Linked DNA regions of Xenopus tropicalis. The protein of the gene in region 1 purifies or fractionates together with the protein of each later gene. This does not show direct contact. Links are inferred from orthologs where the notes say so. Each region holds a gene or a part of one and is shown in the gene's direction. Other genes may lie near its edges.

What was found.
Region 2: the proteins of mark2 (region 1) and fuca1 purify together in Homo sapiens (affinity purification with mass spectrometry; 3 studies listed by BioGRID and IntAct, counting the BioPlex papers as one, with this or other methods). This does not show direct contact. The link is inferred for Xenopus tropicalis from reciprocal best matches to the Homo sapiens genes MARK2 and FUCA1.
Region 3: the proteins of mark2 (region 1) and mtcl1 purify together in Homo sapiens (affinity purification with mass spectrometry; 5 studies listed by BioGRID and IntAct, with this or other methods). This does not show direct contact. The link is inferred for Xenopus tropicalis from reciprocal best matches to the Homo sapiens genes MARK2 and MTCL1.

The regions. Positions count from the first base shown.
Region 1 is NC_030680.2:36,153,293-36,160,276, reverse strand, and holds part of mark2 (serine/threonine-protein kinase MARK2), read left to right. Parts: intron 1-1,093; coding exon 1,094-1,206; intron 1,207-2,160; coding exon 2,161-2,293; intron 2,294-3,255; coding exon 3,256-3,434; intron 3,435-5,044; coding exon 5,045-5,142; intron 5,143-5,621; coding exon 5,622-5,771; intron 5,772-6,984. UniProt on the Homo sapiens protein: Serine/threonine-protein kinase. Involved in cell polarity and microtubule dynamics regulation. Phosphorylates CRTC2/TORC2, DCX, HDAC7, KIF13B, MAP2, MAP4 and RAB11FIP2. Phosphorylates the microtubule-associated protein MAPT/TAU.
Region 2 is NC_030678.2:90,716,046-90,723,829, reverse strand, and holds the start of fuca1 (tissue alpha-L-fucosidase precursor), read left to right. Parts: upstream 1-2,642; 5' UTR 2,643-2,647; coding exon 2,648-3,015; intron 3,016-5,274; coding exon 5,275-5,409; intron 5,410-5,498; coding exon 5,499-5,636; intron 5,637-6,422; coding exon 6,423-6,528; intron 6,529-7,628; coding exon 7,629-7,784. UniProt on the Homo sapiens protein: Alpha-L-fucosidase is responsible for hydrolyzing the alpha-1,6-linked fucose joined to the reducing-end N-acetylglucosamine of the carbohydrate moieties of glycoproteins.
Region 3 is NC_030682.2:104,944,952-104,951,511, reverse strand, and holds part of mtcl1 (microtubule cross-linking factor 1), read left to right. Parts: intron 1-1,381; coding exon 1,382-1,419; intron 1,420-2,837; coding exon 2,838-3,119; intron 3,120-3,868; coding exon of another isoform or gene 3,869-3,907; exon of another isoform or gene 3,908-3,924; intron 3,925-6,560. UniProt on the Homo sapiens protein: Microtubule-associated factor involved in the late phase of epithelial polarization and microtubule dynamics regulation.

The DNA.
Region 1 (6,984 bases):
GCCTGCAGGTTAAGGACAATAGCATACAGGCCATTTTTGAGTGTTTTGTCTCCCAGGCATCTTTTAACACTGAGGGCAGAACAGTCAAAACTGCATCTCCATTCGGCATGACATTGCCCTAACAGGGCAGAAAGAACTCTTTTGGAGACTGCACAGAATTTCCTATTTGTTAAGATGAAGTGTTCTCATATTTTTCTCCCTATACTTTAAGGACGATAGTGCTTTTAAGCCAACTTAAAAGCTCCACAAACAACTTCCTGTAAATGTACTTTTATTTTAGCTTAAAATGCTCTTGCTAGTATATTTGGGCTGAAAACATTCTGCGCCCATTGGTTTTAGGTGTTTCTCATTCAAGCGGGTTTGTAGCTGGTCCTTTTCTTTTTGAATCTAATTACTAGTAGGTACATTCTGTAGCCAGTAAGATAGTCACAAGGTAGAGGTACAGGTAGAATAGAAAGCAGCTGCCATTAGTGTCAGTTGTTTATGCAGTATGCCATATTTAGAGAATAAAAAGTAGACCATGTGGATCGAAATAAAGGATATTATTTTCCATAAAATGTATTAGCTGGCCTTGTAAGAGCAATTTTTATACAATCTTTACATTGAGGTATCTGATCATTTGCAGTGTCACTAAAAGAGAACCTTAACCCCTTCTGTATTTTCTTAACTAATATCACCTTCTTGTAGTCTCCTCCCCACAACTGCATTCTTGGCTCTCTCACTGGCTATGGAACTGTAGAGCAGCGAACTGGGGTTCTTGCTTCCCCTACGCTTTTCAAAGAATCACCAACCCGAGAGCCAGAAGCAGTATGTGACTAGGTAGAATAAGATGGCCACCAACCCCGCTGTGCTACTTTGCAGTTCCTTAGGCTGTCCAAGGGGCCAGGTAACTTTTAGGTGCAGGCATGGATGTAGGTAGGGAGGGCGTGCTTCTGCAGGGGGATGTTATTTTAAAAGCATACAGCAATGGAATGTTTTTTGTTCTAAGAGTAGTTTTTCTGTTTTCAGTAGTTCTACTTTAAGTGTGTACATTTGGTTATGATAGCTTTTTCATGTATATTAAATATTTGTTTTGTGAATTTTCCATAAACAGAGTTAATGATAACCATGGGTTATACCCGAGAAGAAATCAGCGACTCTCTAGTTAACCAGAAATATAATGAGGTCATGGCTACTTATCTACTGCTGGGTTACAAGTCATCTGAGGTATGAAATTCTACTGCTGTAGCTAGTCAGCCTATGATTACCTGATGATAATTGTGTCTGTATTGTTGAAAAATATACTAGTGAAACCAGAGTTTTACATATTTAGAGTTACAAATGTTGACTATAGGACAATGAAGTGTTTTCTGCCTTTTTTATGGCTTAACAAGAACTACAGACATTACCAGTATAAAACATAATGGCATTGTAACCAAGTTAAAACCATAAAGTGTGGTTCTAGAGAGGGCTTAGGTTTAATGGATACTGCCAAAAAAAAGTTGCTTGAAATCAATGCTGAATAGGAGCCGCACACACAAATACGATTAAAATGCACCTCCAAGTGATCTGCCATAGACAGTAGTTATGTGCGGGTTGGATATTTTTTGCCCAATCCTGAGAAGGGACTTTTATACTTGTGCCTGACCTGCCTTTTATGGTGACGTCAAAGAGGGCAGGATTGGCACCACGCTATCCCGACAAGGAGTCATGGGGATACCAGCTGCAGTGAGTTAAATTAACTGTGAATTGCTGCTGGTAAAGACACAACCTTGCCTGACCCAAACCCATTCTAGACACATTAGGTGATGCTTACAATTTTTTAATTATGGGCTTGTCCGACTGAAGACCCACAGGCCAGATGTGGCACTCCAAGAGATTGCGTTGAGTTCTTTGAATTACATTTTATTGTAGTCAGCTGCCTATGCATGTAGCTTATCAAATTATCAGGTGAAACAAGGGAGCTGATATTGAACTTTATGCAATAAAAAACATTTTTACATTCACTGGATAGACAAATGTATTTTTGGTGTAACTTCCCTTCTGTTGTGACAGAAAATATGGCCTGCACCACATTGTGGTTTCTTATTTATGTGAATTCTCATAACAAAAAAACTGATTTTTATCTTTTTGGACTCTTGAATCCAACAGTCTAATTTTTGTTTCTGTTTTTATTCTCAGACGGATAATGACAACTTAACTCTGAAGCCCAGACCCCCACCAGACGTCACTAATAGCATAGCCCCGTCACCTGCTCACAAAGTGCAGCGCAGTGTTTCAGCCAATCCCAAACAGAGAAGACTCAGTGACCAAGGTGGGTGCTTTATATTTTAATAAATATGTATATTTACTTTTTATTCCATTCCATGTGATGGATTTGTTTGTAAAACTGTAGGTGTGATTATTTGAGTTCTTCTCTGCTGCAGATTTCATGGCATCAGGAGTAGGTAGGTCGCCCCCTATTGGGCTAACTATGCAACAGATGACAAGTTTGTCCTTTTGCATTTCTCCACAGGAGGCAGTGAATACTTTCTTTTGCAAATTGTTCTTGCCAAAAAAATTGCTACCACAGTGTGGCAGTGAGGTACTGCTTAGCCATACAACCAGTTTACATGAAACAAAGGGCTGAGAGTTGATGATGAAGGGTGAGCCAACCCGAGAGAGACCAGTGCTGTTTTTTTTTAACATTAAAGTAAAATTTTCCTAGCAACAGGGCATTAGCCTCAGAGCAATAGTTTTTTTGTTTTGTTTTGTTTTTTCCTAAAATCATCATTTTGTGTTATTTTACTCTGAACCAGCAATACTTGCAGCAGAACTTAGTTCCTAGTGTGCTCTTTCTGTCCATTCTGCTGGTTTCAGATACCTTGCTCGATTTCCTGTGAGGCAGTGAGTTTTTTTTGTGGTTTTTTTTCTCCAAACAATTACTTAATCTATTATTCTGGTTACTATTTGTTTTTTTTTTTTTGTTTGTTTTTAAATGTTTTGCTTGATGTATATTTGATTACTTTTATTTCATTAGAGTTGCTACTATATCCAATTCAGTCCCTGTTACCAACATTGCCCTATGCATGTATTTTATATTTGCGGTACTTTCATCATATATTGTAATAAAATGTGCTTTTTATTATTTTGTTGACATACATTCAAAATGAATATTCTCTGCTCAATCGTTCAACAATTGTTCAGACCTATTTTTGGGTTAAAAAAATTGATAAATCGTTGATCAAATGGTAAATTGATGAACAATACGTCCATAACATTATTTGTCTCTCTCAGCTGGACCAGCCATCCCCAACTCCAATTCCTACTCCAAGAAGACCCAAAGCAACAATGCTGAAAACAGGCGATCTGAGGATGACAAAGAAAGTGGGCGCAAGTCCAGCAGTACTGTCCGAGTTCCACCAAGTCCTCTTTCTGGGCTTGACAGAAAGAAGACAACACCAACCCCATCTACGGTCAGTTCTTGAAGACCCAGTGTTATATTTGCCTGTATTGTTTAATATTACTTATTGTGTGAGAATGAAAGAGTCTCTGATATAGTACAAACAATGTTTTTGTGTTTTTTTTTATGGTAATTAATTCAGGGAGGAGTTGATGTCACAGCCATGGGCAACATTCAGCACTCCAGGTTAATGGCCGCTAACTTTAGGGTATATGCTTAATTAAACAGTTCTATAGTTATCTTTACATTCTCTTTATTATGTAGTATTTTTTTTTTTTTTTACAGTGAACTAATCAAAATGTTTATCAGTGAAGTCATTGAAATTAATAGAAAACTAAACAGATAGCAAGGGGTCAGATTAATGTATTTATTTTATGCCTAAGGTGATATTAATTTTAGAGTAGTGTTGGTTAAACAAGGCTCTGGCATGCAGCTGATGAGTTGATCATGGACTGGGTCCATATACACAAATTTTCAGATATTTTCTGCAGAGCACAATAGGATATTTATTATTTGCCAGTGCTGGTTTGTATTTAAGGTGTGCTAGCTTTGTGCCTTGCTTAGTCATAACATGACCAGAAATACAGTATGTAGTGGATTATGTAAAGCAACCACCTTCTGACAATTGATATTAATGGTTAAGTACCCCCTGATGAATTGTTTCTTCACCCTTTGATGGCAAAGGAAAGGGAAATTCACTTGGGGTGCCAATGTGTTAGACATCCCCAATGAACGTTATCCTTAACTTCCACCATCTTGTGCAATGCTCCTCTGTGCTTTCCAGATAGCGTACATGTGCAGTAGAGTAAAATTTGTGACTTCAAAGTTTAAGCCTGGTCTTTACTGTACTGTGCAAGTGCGGTATTCGGATGAAAATCAGTGGGGCATTGGCAGCAGTGTGCAGCAGGAATACACCCAGGGCAATCTAAGGTAAGTGATGATATTTACTGGGATGTGTCTAACACATTGGCACCCTTTGAATTTCCCTTTTTCTTGTCCTTAAATACATAAATAAATAACTTCTGATTGCCAGTCACTTTCCTCCTTACATAATAGCAGTGGTTCCACAGGACTACTTGAAACTTTTAGATAATTAAAAATGTTGGAGTAGTTTCTGTTTTGTCCTGGCTAGACTCATCTTCTTAAAACTGTACCTAGTATGCACATATACAAAAAACAATTGTTTTACCTTGCAAATCCTGTGGATCTCTGTGATACTGCTCTTAAATAGGTTATTCTAAGAAGTAGTATTTCTAAGACAGTAGGGCTACATAGGGTACTGATTTCTGTACCTTGATTTTAGCTTTGATGTTTAAAAATGTTAATGTACAGGAATTCAAAGTATATCTGCAGATATGTGAATATGTAAATTGTGTGCAAATATGGCTGACTTTCATTATATAAATACCCTTGCAAATTATTTTGCTAGAATATCTATCAAACCTCTAGTGTCCTATGACTGCAGTCCATGCAGTTGTGTTCATACTGTTTTTTTCCTCAAAGTGGTGAGAATGTTGTTTTTGTGCATAGAGAGCATTGTGTGAGTTTTAAATATCAGATGCTCTTCCCCTCTACATTCAAATAGTCTGTTTAATTGCTGTTTTTTTTTTTGCCACTTTGCAGAACAGTGTACTTTCTACTGGCACTAATCGCAGTCGCAACTCGCCAATGCTGGACAGAGCCTCACTTGTGCCTGGATCTGTACAGAATGGAAAGGATAGGTAAGAAATTTGTCTTACCTTAATACTTTATATTATTCCATGTCTTTCTTCTTCTAGTAGTCTGGTATAACAAAGGTGTCAGATCTTTAGTCTAAGCTACTGATAGCTGTGTTAGGCTCACAATGGAACATACCTTCTGCAAAACGCTTCTATGCAATTCGCTACTTTTATCATTTATAAGCCTTCAATCACAATGAAACACATTTATATTTGCTACCATGAACACGCCAAGATTGTATCATCCCACAAGTGTCATGGAATATTATTAGCCCATGTTGTATCATCAGTGCATTCTCACCTTGTGATCTCTAGAAAATATATGTCCATAATACCTAGTCTTGTGTATCCCCCAGTGGAAGAAGTTCATTTTGTGTTGAAAGCCTTTTCATTACAGAAATCTCAGTGTCTCCCTTCCTCATTCTTTCCTAGTCTGTGTCTCCATTTTCTGTTTTGTTTCTCCATTTGAATATCACTCTCAGCTTCTCTACACCTGGGTCCCGTGCCTCCACCGCTTCTGCCCCAGCCACCTCTGCTCGGATCCGACAGCACCAGAAATCCATGTCCACTTCTGTGCACCCTTCCAAACCCGCTCCTTCCCTGGATGGAAACTGTGAAGTTCAAAGGCCAAGGCAAGTCTAAAAGGGACAAAAGAGCATAGATGAAGAACATAGATTATAACTTAACTTTTGCAGGCAGTGACTGGAGAATTTAGTGGCAAGTAATATATTCTGTATGACCGATGTAAATTTAGATTTATATTTATTACACATCATCATATTATTAACTGATATAATAATGTACAAATATGTATTTCCTTTCAAAGGGCATGACAACCCCCTTCTCCCCCCCCCCCCCAAAAAAAATGTTTGCCAATAAATTTACAAAAACATAATTCTAAACAACTTTCCCATATACATTTATTACAAATTTCAGTGGTTTAACAGTTATTTGTAAATGTAACAGCTATTACAATTACATTTGCTTAACTTCTGGTTATGACAATTTAAACAATGTTGCAAAAGTCAGTCTCCTCCAGCAAAGGTATGCCTTTTAATCAGCTGTCTTGTCTTACTGTTCCAAAGTCAGAGCCACCAGGGCAGAGAACAGAAAGGGACAGACAAACCACTGAAAATTTCTAATGAATTTATATTGCAAAGTTGCTCATGATAATTATTTTTTTTATTAGGTAAAATGTTACTTTTCTATTGACATGCCCTTCATTTTCAAGTATATGTTAGGGTTCACCAAACTATTTTTTTAACATTATTGTAGGTGTGAGCATATAGAACTCTTCATTCTACTTACTCACTGTACCAAGCATTTCAAAGTTCAGTATATAGAAAAAATATGGTTTTGTAAATCTATATATCTCAAGTACCGTAATAGTCAAAAGGGCCCTTTTAATTTTAGTGAGTGAATTTCTTCTCTAATTAAATTTCATCTCTAATTGGTTGCTGTGGGTTACTACGGGGGGCAGATTTGGGTGGTGTTTTTAAATAAACCACTCTGGGGATCCTTCGCCATCATTGGACATTTAAATCATAGGCAAGAGAGCCACTTGTCTTTGGCAATTGGCTCACACGTACAGTTAGAGGTCAAATGATGTGCAGTGAGGTGCAGGGGGTTGTTCAGATTTAAATTTGACATGAAGTCTAGGAAAGCAGAAGATAACACATATTTTGCTAGGTTAATGTTTAAGCAAGTCATTCCCCTTCCAAACAAGAAATCTACAGCTTTTGAATCAAAATGCTTTTTTTCTAGAATGATATATACAGTTCTCCTGAGATATACTGTGATCAGTTTATTGGCCTCCTATCTTACAAAAATGGTATTGTCACCACT
Region 2 (7,784 bases), on another chromosome or scaffold:
CTACAATAAAATCGGTAGTTATTTGGGAATTTTTACCTTGTAAAGCAAGTTGCGGTTAAAACTTTATGAATCAGATGAAAGGAGTGGTCAGACCAGAAATCAGTTGGCCAGCTTGAATATAATATATGGATAAACAATCCCTGTTTCAAGTGCAGGCATTTTTTGGTAGCTGTATGCATAAAATTTGTCCGAAGTATATTAATATAGGTAAGTACAGAGAATTTATTGTCTTTGTCTCTCTCATTAGGGTAAGCGATTCAGTCGCCGTGATAGATCTCTGCTATCGGAGGCGACTGCTGCTCCGAAATGGCTTTACACCTGCAACAATTGGAATTAGTATTCCAAAATTGAGCAAAGTTTCCTCCTGCAGGCAAGTTTGTGCGACTTCAGAAAACGAAGCAATGCAAAGAGATTTTTTTGCCAGTGGAAAGCCGTTTTTGGAGAGTTTAGTCGCCCGCAATAGCAGAGATCTATTGCAGGCAACTAAATTGCTCTGTGGATTCTTACCCTTATAATCACTGGGACTCAAAGGGATTTGTTAGCAAAATCATTGCATATTAATTTGTCAATGTATAGCCACAGAGACCTTACTCAAGTCTTTTTTATTAAAGATGGCTCCCATAAAGGCTATCTTGAGCTTTTTTTGTGTTTGAGATGTTTTTGCTTAAAATAAGCATTAACTGCAGCACATAACTATTTTTTTAGTCCAGTTTGTACCAGCTGTTTCCACCATACAGTAATATTGTTCCAAATTACCTTCAGGCTGAAGGGTTTCGGCATGGGCACCTGGACTCCTCACTAATGGTTTTGGTGAGTTCACCCCCAGAGTACTTAGTTTTAGGAAACCTTTTTTTTGTTTTTTTATTAACGCACTGGTGATGTGACAGAATAAGAGATAAAAACACCAGATTATTCTGGGCCTGGCCTTCTTGCTTCCAGGAGCAGGCCATCAAATGATGGTGTCACAGAGTCTCCACTGAGGATGCAGTGGTTACCATCCTTTTTGTTAAGACACAAAAAAATTGTAGTGCAGTCAACCAGAAGGGACACAAATGGGCATTAATGGTTCACAAAGACAGTCCTAAAAAATTGATAGTGAGGTGGAGAATTTGAACATAAAGATACTGTAGATGTCCCTCACATCAGCAACTTACATTCTTCCATTCCTTACGGAACCTTACACCTTGCAGACATTGCAACACAGCCTTTCACAACTCCAGTCTGTTCTAAATGCTGTTGCCAGATTCATTCATCTCAACGATCCACATCAACTGCTCCCTATACATATCCCTTCACTGGATCCTGGTCTCTTCTAAAATCAAATTTAAATTACTGGGGCTCATTTAAGGCACTTATCAATGAAGCCCCTCTCTATATCGCAAGTCTGATATTAAAATACACTCCTTCATGCAACCTACATTCTGCTTATGACCTTCGCCTCTCTTCTCCTCTCATCACTTCATCCCATTCCCGACTGCAAGACTGCTCTCTGGCTTCTGCCCGTCTCTGGAACTCTCTGTCTAAGGGCTCTGGCACACGGGGAAGATTAGTCGCCCGCGATTAACTCCCTGTTCGCGGGCGACTAATCTCCCCGAGTTGCCTAGCCCTGCCATCCCACCGGCGAACATGTAAGTCGCCGGCGGGATGGCAGACGCGGCGGGGCGATTTCCGGAAGTCGCCGAAAAAGACTCACTAGAGGTTAAAAAGAAAGACTAGATAACCTATTCATCGATGCAACCTAGCCTACAAACTATATATTATATAGGTAACAGACTCAAGCAAGTTCCAGGGGGAGCGTTCCCTTGAGGCTGCCATACACGGGCCTATTTTAACTGACGATATATTTTAGACCGATTCAGCAGCTTATCTGCCCATGTATGGGCACCACTGGTGGCCTCCCTAACCGACATGTAGCCTGAAATTGGCCAGATCGTGATCAGGCAGGTTGGATTTTTCCATTGGATCGGGGACTGCATCAGCTTATTGATGTTGTCCCCGAACAGATGGTGCCTATGCCCACTGTTTTAATTTGATCATTTGGCCCTAGGGCTGATATCGCCTACCTGTAGGTGAGAATATCAGGAGATCTGCTCACTTGGCAACCTTGCCAAACAAGCAGATCTTACAGTGTATGTATGGCCACATTTAGGTGGTGCAGCTGTTTGTCAATAAAGCAATCAATGTTATAAAAAGTTTTGAAAGTTGGAAATCTGTTTTACAGAGACTCTGCAGAGAAGTTCTAATTCATTTTTCAAATTACTTAAAATACATATAAACAATGGGAAAAAAACGCTTTTTAAAAATATTGTTGTAAGGACCCTTAAGAGCAAGTAGGGGCGCTTCTGAATGCTGCATAGTAAGTACCTGAGGCTAAAGAAGGATGTACAGCGATGAAATCCTTTCACATGAACAGTCGTACGTGCTTACTATAACCTGAAGGATGTCCTAAATGTACACAGTGGGATAATCGCATAATAGTTTTTGAGATGTTATTGGTCTACTAAACTAGTTCCTCCTGCAGCAGCACTGAAGCGGCACTGTGTGAGGCGGTTTGAAACGGTTGCTAGGCGGGCTTTAGAAGGGGGCGTGGTCTCACATATAGTTCCGGTCTCATGACAGTTTCAGATGTATACAGTCTGTGCCGGTGATGACAATGGAAGCAGTGCGGGGCTCTGGAACCGGTGGGCTCCTTTTTCTATGTGCTCTGGCCACTGTCCTGCCTTCTGGCTCCTCGCGTTACACTCCCAACTGGGAATCTCTGGATGCTCGGCCTCTTCCGCCTTGGTTCGATGAAGCCAAGTTCGGAATATTCCTGCACTGGGGGGTGTTTTCAGTGCCCTCATTTGGCAGCGAGTGGTTCTGGTGGAACTGGCATGAGCGCTCGGACGCCTATGTCAAGTTCATGGAGCAGAACTACCGGCCCGGCTTTACCTATGCAGACTTCGCCCCTCAGTTCACTGCAGAGTTTTACGACCCTGATGCCTGGGCGCAACTCTTCCAAGCAGCGGGGGCCAAGTGAGTTTTAGCTATTTATTGCTCGGCACTTGCTTTGTCTTTGCCCCAAATTATGCTTTTGAGCCGCGAACATGCATGGTGCTTAGCAATGCTGTTTAGCTCATTTCCTTGGTATATGTATATAATCATTTGTGTAACAATAATTTAACTGCCAGTCTGATAACCAAAATGTATGAACTTCACCATTCGTGTTGTGGTCCTAGCCTTCCTGCATTGCCATTGGGCTCTATGTCTTATATAGTTTGGGGGCAGAAAACAGTATGCATTTTGAGCCTAAAAATACCTGACAAGTAGATTCACTGGATTATGGGGTGCTATATGGAACACTATGGGGCTTGTGTATAACTTCAGGCAAGGGACAAAGCACCTCTAAACAAATCAGACACAAGGCACAAGCAGAGCACTGGTATGTTCCTCTTATGGCTGTTGCTTCTAGGGCATTAATAGGACCACTAACGTGTGCCCTTAGCCTTAGTGTGTTGAATACAGCAAATATGTATTTCTTTCAGGTACAGAAAATATATTTTGTGAAAGGAAATGGTTATTTTATCCCTTTAAAAGCCCTGTGCTGCCCCTGAATTTGCATTGTCTTCAGACCATTTGTGCAAGAGTTATGCAGACTAATGTATATTGGCTATTTTTACAGCTGCTGTATCCCACTCGAGCGCAGAGGCAGTCAAAATGCACCATAGGTTGTATTGTTCTATTGTTTGGCGTCATGGCATGTGATCCTTTTATTCAGAACTTCCTGGTCACACCTTGTTTTTGACTTTAATTTTTGCTCATGTGATTGAGCCATTGCAATACTGATAATTTTCAGAGGCAAGACTGTAACAACAAGCCTGTTGTCCCTGTGACTGGAGGGGGGTATTCTGGTCTCTTAGTGTAAAAATTAAATGGGTCCCTGACTCTTGTAAAAACTTTAATTTACTTGCTATTATTACAGAATGGCTTTTGTCTGCAAAAAAATAAAAAATTCTGTGGACCCCCATGTATCCATGTGAAATATCTTGTAGATATTGATATGCTGAGACAATTTCAATTGGTTTTAATTTGTTTTTTGTTTTTTTTGTTTTTTTTTTTGTGGTTGTGGACTGTATATGCTTGGAGTGTATGTATTGTACTGCAAGGATATCCTGCTACAATATATCCTGTCTGTAGACTTCCAGGTTTCTGTGCCAGTATATTCTCTGTTACTGTTATTTAATTGCATCTGTATTTTGTGTTGAAAACGTTATCATTTTTAAATACAGTCCCCTAATTCAGTAAAATTAAAAAAGGCACTCAGAATGTGGAAAAATCCTTGTAGAAAATGAGCCCCAGTTCATTCTAAGCATAAATATTGGCTAGCACCTGTTAGTGACAGATACAGATTTATAAAGCTTTAATACCTTTTAGCCCAATGGTTATGCATGAATCTATTTTTGTTCATAACACACAATGGGAACAATTTGGGGGTAATTTCAGTAAACAATGCAAAGCTGTACTCCAATCAGAAATATGTGTGCATTTATTGTGGTTTTCTTTTTAACTTGCAAGGTTACATTTTGCTGTAAATGAATCAGTACTTTTAGTCAAAGTTTTCAACATGGCTTTGTGACAAAATGAACGCTGGGCTTTAGTCACTCCTAAAATTAAATATACAAAAAGGTATTCTGTGTTTGCACCATAAAATATAACTTTTAATAAATACTAATTAATAGACCAATTTGTTAAAATAACTGATGACTTAATCGCAATAAAAATCAGTCTTCCTATCAACCCTGTAGGTCAATTAATGTACCTTCTACTCAATCGGGAAATCAACCTTATACATATTAATACAAGGAAATCACTACATTACTAAATGAATTGTTCTATTTGGCCTATGAACTTTATTTAATATAATCATGTATAAGCGTGATTTCCATGATCTGGCAGCCGCGTTTACCACCCTCTGCTGTGTGGCAAGAACCCCCACCTTGGAATCGTGCTGTTTTTTGATAGGTTAGTATGTGCTGTCACACGCTCACCAAAGACGTGATCTTTCAGACTGGAATAGCAAACTGTGCCAGCCAATAACTTATGCACTTGCATATAAGCCTCATGATGTGATGGCTGTAATCCAATGTAGTCAGTTTAATATGTTTAAAACTTTATCTGCAGATGCACCTTATCAGCCACTTTCTTTTATTTGCATGTTCCCCTGTCAAAGCATATTTGTTTAATTTTAAATTGACTTCTGGGCAGTCTCTAAACAAGTTTTGTTGCTTTGTTGAGGTATGTTGTCCTGACCACCAAGCACCATGAAGGTTTTACAAACTGGGGCTCCCCCGTGTCTTGGAACTGGAATGCAGTAGATGTTGGGCCACACCGTGACCTGGTTGGGGACTTCAGTGATGCGTTGAGAAAACGGTTTGTCACAAAAATATTCATGGTAAAGTTATAAATGTTTTATATCTTTTTTTGTCGCCTGCTTTAAAATTACCTTTCTTGCATTCTAGGAACCTGAGCGTTGGTTTGTACCACTCTTTATTGGAATGGTTTCATCCCCTGTATCTACTAGACAAAAAAAATGGCTTCAAGACACAGTATTTTGTTTTTTCCAAAACAATGCCTGAGCTCTATGACTTGGTTAATAGGTAAGGCCGCACAGAAATAATCTTTGTTACAGTGTCTGTCTGGCTAATTTCATTGCATGGCACAAAGCTCTGCTAGGGACATTTTGTTCCTCAATTTAAAGTGCTGATTTCCTGGAAACAAATTCCTCTTCAGTCTGCTGGTAGGTTACACAAGTTACTGGACTGTGACAAAGTTTCTGACACTTTATATTACACATTGTCTATCCCATCACAGCACTGCATCTACATTACTGGACATAGAACAAAGCATATGAATACACTAATGATTTTATGATTTGCTGACATAATTGGCAAAAGTCCATATCATATAATCCCATCTGTAGCAAGTCACAGCTGTCTAGTCTTTACCTAGCGTGGTGGATGCACTGTATGTTCCATTCACAAATTTCATCAACAGAACTGGGGTTTTTAAATACACCCCCCCCCCCCCCCACTTTTTTTTTTTTTTTTTTTAACCTGCTTCACTGTTAATGTCTTTCCTTTTATGTAGCGCCTTGGTTGCAGGATTCTGATGATCACAAATACTTTTTAACTTTTAACCCCACTTGTTAGCGCCATGCTCCACTCTATACCTACAAGCTTTTAGAATACAATTCATTTGTGGAAGATCTTATTTAGGATGTCCTGAAACTATTTACAGTTCACCAACTCATTAGGTTGTTTTAAAGGGGATATGTTGGATATAGTCAGGAGTAGAGATTCAAATGTATGATTATCATGTAAATGTTAACATGTGGCTGTAATTCATTTCTTATCATTGCAACTCAAAGTTATTTTATTTATCAGGTATAAACCAGATCTGATTTGGTCAGATGGAGACTGGGAGTCCCCTGATACCTACTGGAATTCCACTGACTTTTTGGCTTGGCTCTACAATGATAGTCCTGTCAAGGTACTTGCTTCTTACTCCATAATTGTCCTTTATTGTATACTTAACAGAAAGGGTTTTGGTTTTTTGTTTTTTTTTAATAACCTATATGTCACTTTGCCTTCTTGCCTTGCTTCTTCTGAAGAAAATCTGTGGTGACAAAATACCAGTCATAGCTATAAACAATTTCTCAGTATAGTATATTGGGAATGGCTGAGTGACATGCTTGCATTATTGTCTCCCAAAAAGTAATGTTCATTTATGGTAATAGTTCACATATGCTATACTCATGGAAGTCTGCACTTGCTGAAGAAAGGGAAAAACCAATCTCATGCAAAAGATAAATAAATGCTTTTAACAATTCCCTTTTATTTTTTAGTACTGTATATACTCAAGTATAAGCCTAGTTTTTCAGCACCAAAAATGAGCTGAAAAAGTCACCCTCGGCTTATACTCGAGTCGGGTGCCATGGGTCCCTCCAAACTAGCACCCTCTGTCCTTTGTGTGCAAATTAGGCCACCTGCAACCAGACCCTCCAGTGCCCTGGCCGCTCCCAAATTTATTTTCATCTATCATCCTCACCTGTCCCATTCTGCTCTAGACATTTCACTTTATATTCTGCATAAACTATATATAGTTTTGAAGGATTTTAACTCTTTGTGTTTTAGCTTGGTTGCTGAGTACTCTTAAGGTATCATTGTTGATAAAACAATTGTTTTTGTTGACCCTCCACTTACAGAGCTAATTTACAGTTTTTATTTGAAATAAATATTTAAAAACATATACCCCACTGATGCCTCATTTAATGTAATTTTATTGGTATTTATTTTGATAAAACTTAGCAGTAGCTGCTGCATTTTTCACCCTAGGCTTATACTCAAGTCAATAAGTTTTTCCAGTTTTTTTTTAGGTAAAATTAGGTACCTCGGCTTATATTCGGATCGGCTTATACTAGAGTATATACGGTATTTTAAAATATTTCCTAATATGTACTTTTTTTTTAAGTAAATTAGTTTATTTACCTTGTTACATTTCACAGTAGCAGCTCATCAAGCCTGATCATGTATTGGCTACAAGTACCCTGAAGTCAGATAAGCCTAATATATATGTATATATTCTCCTAGGACAATATCGTGGTAAATGATCGTTGGGGCAGCAATTGCTCGTGTTATCATGGCGGATACTACAACTGTGCAGATAAGTTTACACCAAGCAGTTTGCCAACACATAAGTGGGAAAAGTGCACGTCTGTTGATACATATTCTTGGGGCTATAGGCGT
Region 3 (6,560 bases), on another chromosome or scaffold:
AAGTCATTTCTAGTGTGGACTACACCTGTTACTAGCTTAGCATTTGTGACTCTGAACTAGACTATGGCTCTGCTGCTGTGAACGTCAGCCATTCTGTGATCTAGACAGCTAACATTGTGGTGCTGCTAGTAATTTTTAAAGGGGTGGTTCACCTTAATGTTAACTTTTAGTACATTATAGAATGTCCCATTCCTGGCAATTTTGCACTTGGTCTTCATTATATATTTTACATAGTTTTCAAATTATTTACCTCCTACTTTTACATTTTTTGAGCTTTTAAATTGGGGGTCACTGACCCTGACAGCCAAAAGCTATTGCTCTGTGAGCTTACAGTTTTATTATTAGGTACTTTTTGTTTCTTATCTTTCTAGTCAGTCCCTCTCCTATTCATATTCCAGTCTCTCATTTAAACCACTGCCTGGTTGCTAAGGTAAACAAGACCCTGGCACCCAGATAGCTGCTGAAATGCAAAACTGGAGAGCTGTCCACCAAAAGCTAAATAACTGTAATCACCAAAAACATAAAAATAAAAATCAATCTGTTAAACCATATGGGATCTTCTCTAGTGAATGTTGGTGTTTAAGCAAATTGCTTGACTCGCAAGATGACATACATGTTATTGAAAGAGCCAACCATCCATATGTTTTGCTACTTGCCCATGTTTTTGCTTCTAATTGAAAAACAGATTATACCTGTACATCTATAACAATAACATTAAGACAAATTTGAATGAAACTGCCATGCTGAGACATAAGCCTGTGGGAAATCATAGGATGTAACATTCACAGGTCAAAGATTATTTCACTTAATAACAAATGCTGAACATATCAAAGCAATATGAAAATGTTGCCTTTATATAAAAAGCACCTTGTTGTTAATGGCATTGTTAAAGAAATAATAATTGTTTGCATAGCCACTTAACAGTGCTGTCGAATTTCAGGGCTACAAAGCTGTGTTTAAAGAAGGCTCTTTAAGGCTGGGTCCTTTCTTTCTGTGGGAAAATTATCTCCAGGGCGGAGTATCTGCCTTCTTTGCTCTCACAGCTTCCAGTTTTTTCATTAATAATAGAAACCACATAGAAGATAATCCTACTATCTCCAAAATGTAACATTAATAGCTAAGTACCCCACTGGCTCCACTTGCAAGCTGCACTTACCTGTTGTTTTCTGTATGTTTTATTTATAGTTAAAAATTACTTTTAAATTGCAAAAATAAAAACTTAATAGTAACAACCACATATATGTTACAAAGTCATATCCCATAGACAAACCCTTGGGTGGCAAGTATAATGTTCCTTTAAAGATTGTTGGAAAACAAGAGGAAATGAGAATGTCCTTTTACAACCCTTTTGATAGAATTAAAATATGTATTTATTATTTAGGTACAAAGCTATACATGTGCTCACAGATGTATTTCCACGTGAGTATAGGACACGGTGGTGGTGTTTCAGTTAAGATTTGAATCAGAGTGTCCAAAATCTATCTCTACTGATTTTCTATTTTCTGTTGTTATAAAATCACAGTGATTGAGCTTAACCTTCTTTTTTCAATGAGAGCCTGCACAAAATCAATTCTATGCACATGTTGAACTAACTCAAACTGAGATTGCATATGTGCTCTGGTACTCACAGTGCAACCATTTCTCCCAAATGAAAGCAAGATCAGTCTATTTCCTCCGGGTCAAAGTCTTGTGGGGTTTGCCAGTTCTACAACAAGGTGTGCTAGTGAGAGGGCTAAATTCCTATCTGTACTCATTTTAAGCTTGTTCCACCTAAAATGCTACTAAGTTAGTACTCACAGGGTATTTATGTAGTTCACAACAGATAGAGGGCTGCATAAGGCTAATGCCAGATGGGGCTTATTCTCAGTCTGCAGATAAACACAGAATGAGAATTAGCCTCTATGCTGGCATCAGCCTCTCTTTGTGCCTGCACTTGGATCCATTGCGTCGACCCGGGGGCAGGTACACAGAGATGATTGTAGCACCAAAATGTAGCATACTTGTGCATTTTGGAACCAAAATCTGCTTCGGGTGCAGGACCAGGGAAAGGCTGTTGCCTGCGTAGGGGCTGATTCTGGCATTATCTTAAAGGAGACGTATCCTATAAAAACTATGAATGTACCAGTGAATTATACTCCTCTAGATATAGAAGGATTGTGCTTTAAAAAGTTGTGTTTCCTGCTGATTTATTGAGAAATTCCACCAAAACCCCACTAGCCCCGCCCATCGGTTCCACTTCCTGCTGGCTGAATTCTCTGGATGAGCTGGGGAGCCGGCGGCCCTCCGTACACTGCACTGTAGGATAGGAACCAATCAGCAGCTAGGCTGACCTGATAGGGAACTGAAGCCTGTCTTTGCTTGCGTGAGTGCAGGGTTGTGATTGGCTCTCTCCCTCCTACTGTGCTTCTGGCAGGGACCGTTAGGACACGCCCACTCTTCATTTCAAATGTGGTCGGAGAAGTGATACGATCTATAGGGAGCTCCAATAAAGGGGCCATTGTTGCAGAGAGGATTAATGTTTAGCCCAAAGGGAAACCAGCACCATATATTATTCATAATTCCAATATGTCTCCTTTAAGACTGATACCTGGATTTTTCTTGGTTCTTTTTTGGTTTCCATCTGTATAATCATTTAAAGAGGGGCTGTTGGCACTGGAAACCACTAACTCCATCTATTGGGTACTTTTTTCCTCCTTTTTATTACAGAGCCCTTTGATTTACTCAAAATACGACAATATCTGTTGTCTTACTAACAATGTAATGTGTGTACATGCAACTAAAAACATTTGTATACTCTTATGTATTATGCATTTTGCGTTATTGTGTCTGCTTACAAGGTTATTAATATGGTTGTCTGGGCCACCCAGTCACAGGCGCGGTAACGCAGAATACATGACATATAAGATATTTTCAGCTAGAGCACCTGTCAATCCAGCCGATCGTATATTGCCCGATCATGTCTTCAGGGAAGAAACCAAGCACCTGCTTGCCCACCCACAACATTGCAGCACAGTTACCTACACACCAACGTCTGTCAACTTGAAGTCAGTGAGGAATGTCAGGTGTGCTGAGGATCAGCCTGCACAGCAGCCCCACGCAACTCCATGCACATGCAGCAGGTGTGATGGAACGGGCAGTTAAAAGCAATGAGCAATGTATGACATCAATGAGGGGGGACAGGTATTGGACAAATAAGGAAGGAATAGTGTAGGTAATAGGGTGATGGTATTACATATACAACACAGTACAAAAGTTGACTGGAGGGCAGGTGTAAAGGGTAGATTATCTGGAAGAGAAGGTGAGAAAATGTAAGGGAAGATAGCTATGGGGGGGGGGGGAGAAAGAATAAGGTGACGAGGAAGTGAAACAGTTTGACCTAATATTCTTAGAAAAAAACAAGAGTATAAATACATTTTTACCAAAATTTTGTTTGGCTTACTACCCCAGAATAGATAGTTCAGAGTGAGGGCACATTGTTCTGTGCAGGGAACCTGTGTTACTTTTACTACATTGCTTCTGGTTATTAGCCCTCCTTGAATGCTATTCTATTTACATGCTGAAAATGTGTTACCTACGAACAAGAATATTAAAAATGTGTAATATGTGTGACCTATGAATTAAGAAAATTACTGTTTATTATATATGGCCAGGATGTTTGGTAGGCATTTCCAGCTAACAATATGTGTATAGATACTTTATTGTATTGTAACTCTTGGATTTTCATTTCTGTTTTGTTCAATGTTTTGTTTGCTGACAGCCATTCTGGTATCGTCAAGAAATGAGAAGCCCTGGAATATCCTCTAATAATTATTTGTACTTTTCTTTTCCTTTCCAATCTACTTGCTTTCTTTCTGTCTATCCTGACTAGAACCAAACTGTCTTACTAACTGCTCCCTGGGGAGTCTAACTGCCTGCTACACTGCTGTAAGTCTCTTCTCTTCCTTTTTTTTATTGACTGGTGTGTTCTGAAACAGAGCCAAAATACACTGACATGTGGACATAACTATGGCCCTACTCGCATAAAATCTCCCCCTCCGAGTGTCTGACAGTCTCACAGCATTTGCTCCGGCTGTTCCTTTATAAGTCACTACTTTAAATATAGGCACAAACTATCCACAGACTAAACATAGGCAGAGCTAAGAAATGCAAATGTGAGCAAGACGCTAATCTGGTCTGGAAAATGGCAATCAGATTATGGAACCTGGCAACCAAGATTTAAAACAAAAGTCTTTTTCATCATCTGATAGCTATGACGGCCACTGGCTCTCCAGCCAACAGTGACCTACATAAGCAGCGTCCTCAGTCTCTCAGTGCTTGTTGGGAGTCTGCAGTCAGTATAGGAGCACCTTGGATCTGTTGTAGATCCCCAAGCTGGACTTGTCTTTTTTGCCTTTTGGGCATTAATTTTACTTCAAGATGTGTTTTTGAGGGCTCTTTTATCATTCATGTGTGTCCTGTTTGCTTCCCAGGCATTACATTTCCTCTTTTCTTTTCTCCAGGTTCTCTGTTTTCTCATTTCAACTTGTGCAACTTGTGCCCATTGTTCTCTAGCTCTGTTTACCTGCATCCACAGCAAGCACCCCCCATGCCATGTTTGTCACATATACAGATAACTGCTATCTGCCCTGTTGTATAAGCAGCTGCAAATATCTCTGCTGAACCACAACGCCATCCATCATGGGAGCTATAACTTCCTATAATATTTTAACAGTGCTCCCACTATGGCTAGGAAATAAGGACTGGCCTAAGGGTAGTGCCCATGCAGAATATATATTGTTTGTATGTGACTGTTCTGTTACAAATGCTTTCATTTGTTCTTACCATTTTCTCTAACCCCTACTAACGTTCAGGACATCTGAAATGTTCATAAGTCAATTTTCCACTGCTTTTAGAAACCTTCTAAACTCACTCCAACAGTCTGTATTATTTTTTATTCTGTATGTTTATACTTCATTCAGACTTACTAATAACAAATCACATTTCTGTTCTTTACGTCTAAAATGTGCATTTATTCACTGGATTTTAACTATATTAACTCTTTCTTTGTAAAGTTGCCTCCTTGCTCTCAGTAACAGAATTTACTTATAAAATAGTCCCATAAATGCAGACAACTCTATAATATAAATTAGTTTCACTGCTGGGCCTATTGTATAGTAGCTTGAAGAAGAGGCTTTTTGGGGTGCTTCACTGTTATGCTCCCCTCAGCTCAAATGTGAGACAGATATTCATGGCCACATATACTGCTATGCAGCAGCCAATTGCAACCAATAATACATTTGTTTCATTAGGAGATTATGGAGGAAAATATGATTCAAAGCAACTTTTTCAATAGATTGAAAATGTAATTGTTTTTTTTGAGTTTATGGTAAACGTCATTTCACGATATTTATGTAGCTATTTATATTCTCTGTACGTCTTGTTCTGACTCCTGAAACAATCCAGCAGAAGCCAGCTGATTATTAGAACTGACTATACGACTATATTGTGTCAAAAGTCAGAACCAGGAATGAGTTGAAAGAACAGAAATGGATAAACACACACTGCTTCCAATTGCAATGGCATTTCTAAATCACTTTAAAATCACTGCAAATGTATTATAAATGTGTATTGGAAAGTTGCTCAGCTGAATATTTTTAGGTGGTGGTTCTGTTTAATCTAAACATTATTATAAGTGACCAAGAAGCTGATGCATTTTGTACAGATTGGCCTTACCTGTACCAGTTACATGCTCATTCAGCAAGAGAAAATATAACCCTACTATTTTCTTGCTAAAATGATTGCCTATTAATATCACAGTGATTTGGAGCCACAAAGCAGTGTGTCTAAGATGTACCAATGTGTTTAGTGTTGCCCATGTGTTTGTACTTTACATATTGCTGATAATCTGCCTTCTACCAATACATTTTAGGTGTGTTTTGCCAAAAACTTGAACCAGTTATTGGAATCTCTCATTCTATCAGCATTATAAGTAGAATACATACACACATGACTCTATTCTCTTTGGGTACCAGTTGGTTATTATATGCTTTATATTTAAGGCACAAGCATATGCCACACTTGTTTACCAGTATTGATTAACTATTTACATTGGGAGCTTACAATATAATTTTCCCTACAGCCAACATTAAGTTAAAGAAAAATCCATTCATATACAGGTATTAGTGTATGTTTGGAGTGTGAGACAAAACTGAAGCACCCAGAGTAAACAGACAGACTCCACGTAATTTATGTTCTGGTCAGAGTTGAACCCTGGACCCGCAGTTGCTTACCCTGTGCATGCAGTAACTGAACTAATTATATTTTCTTTGCCTTGTTCTTGCCCAATAGAACGTTCAGGGTCAGTTGGGATCTGTATGCATGGCATAACCAACCCATAGCTCAAATCTGAATGCAAAACACACCTGGATGTGAGCAGCACCTCATATAATCTTTGTCTTTTATTGCATTTTCTTCCTTCTATCACTATCTTTACATTATGGGAACATGTAAAGCATTGGAAAAGCAGTTAAAAGGGGTCTTTAGTATTGTTAAAAGAAATTTAATTCTAAGCAACTTTATAT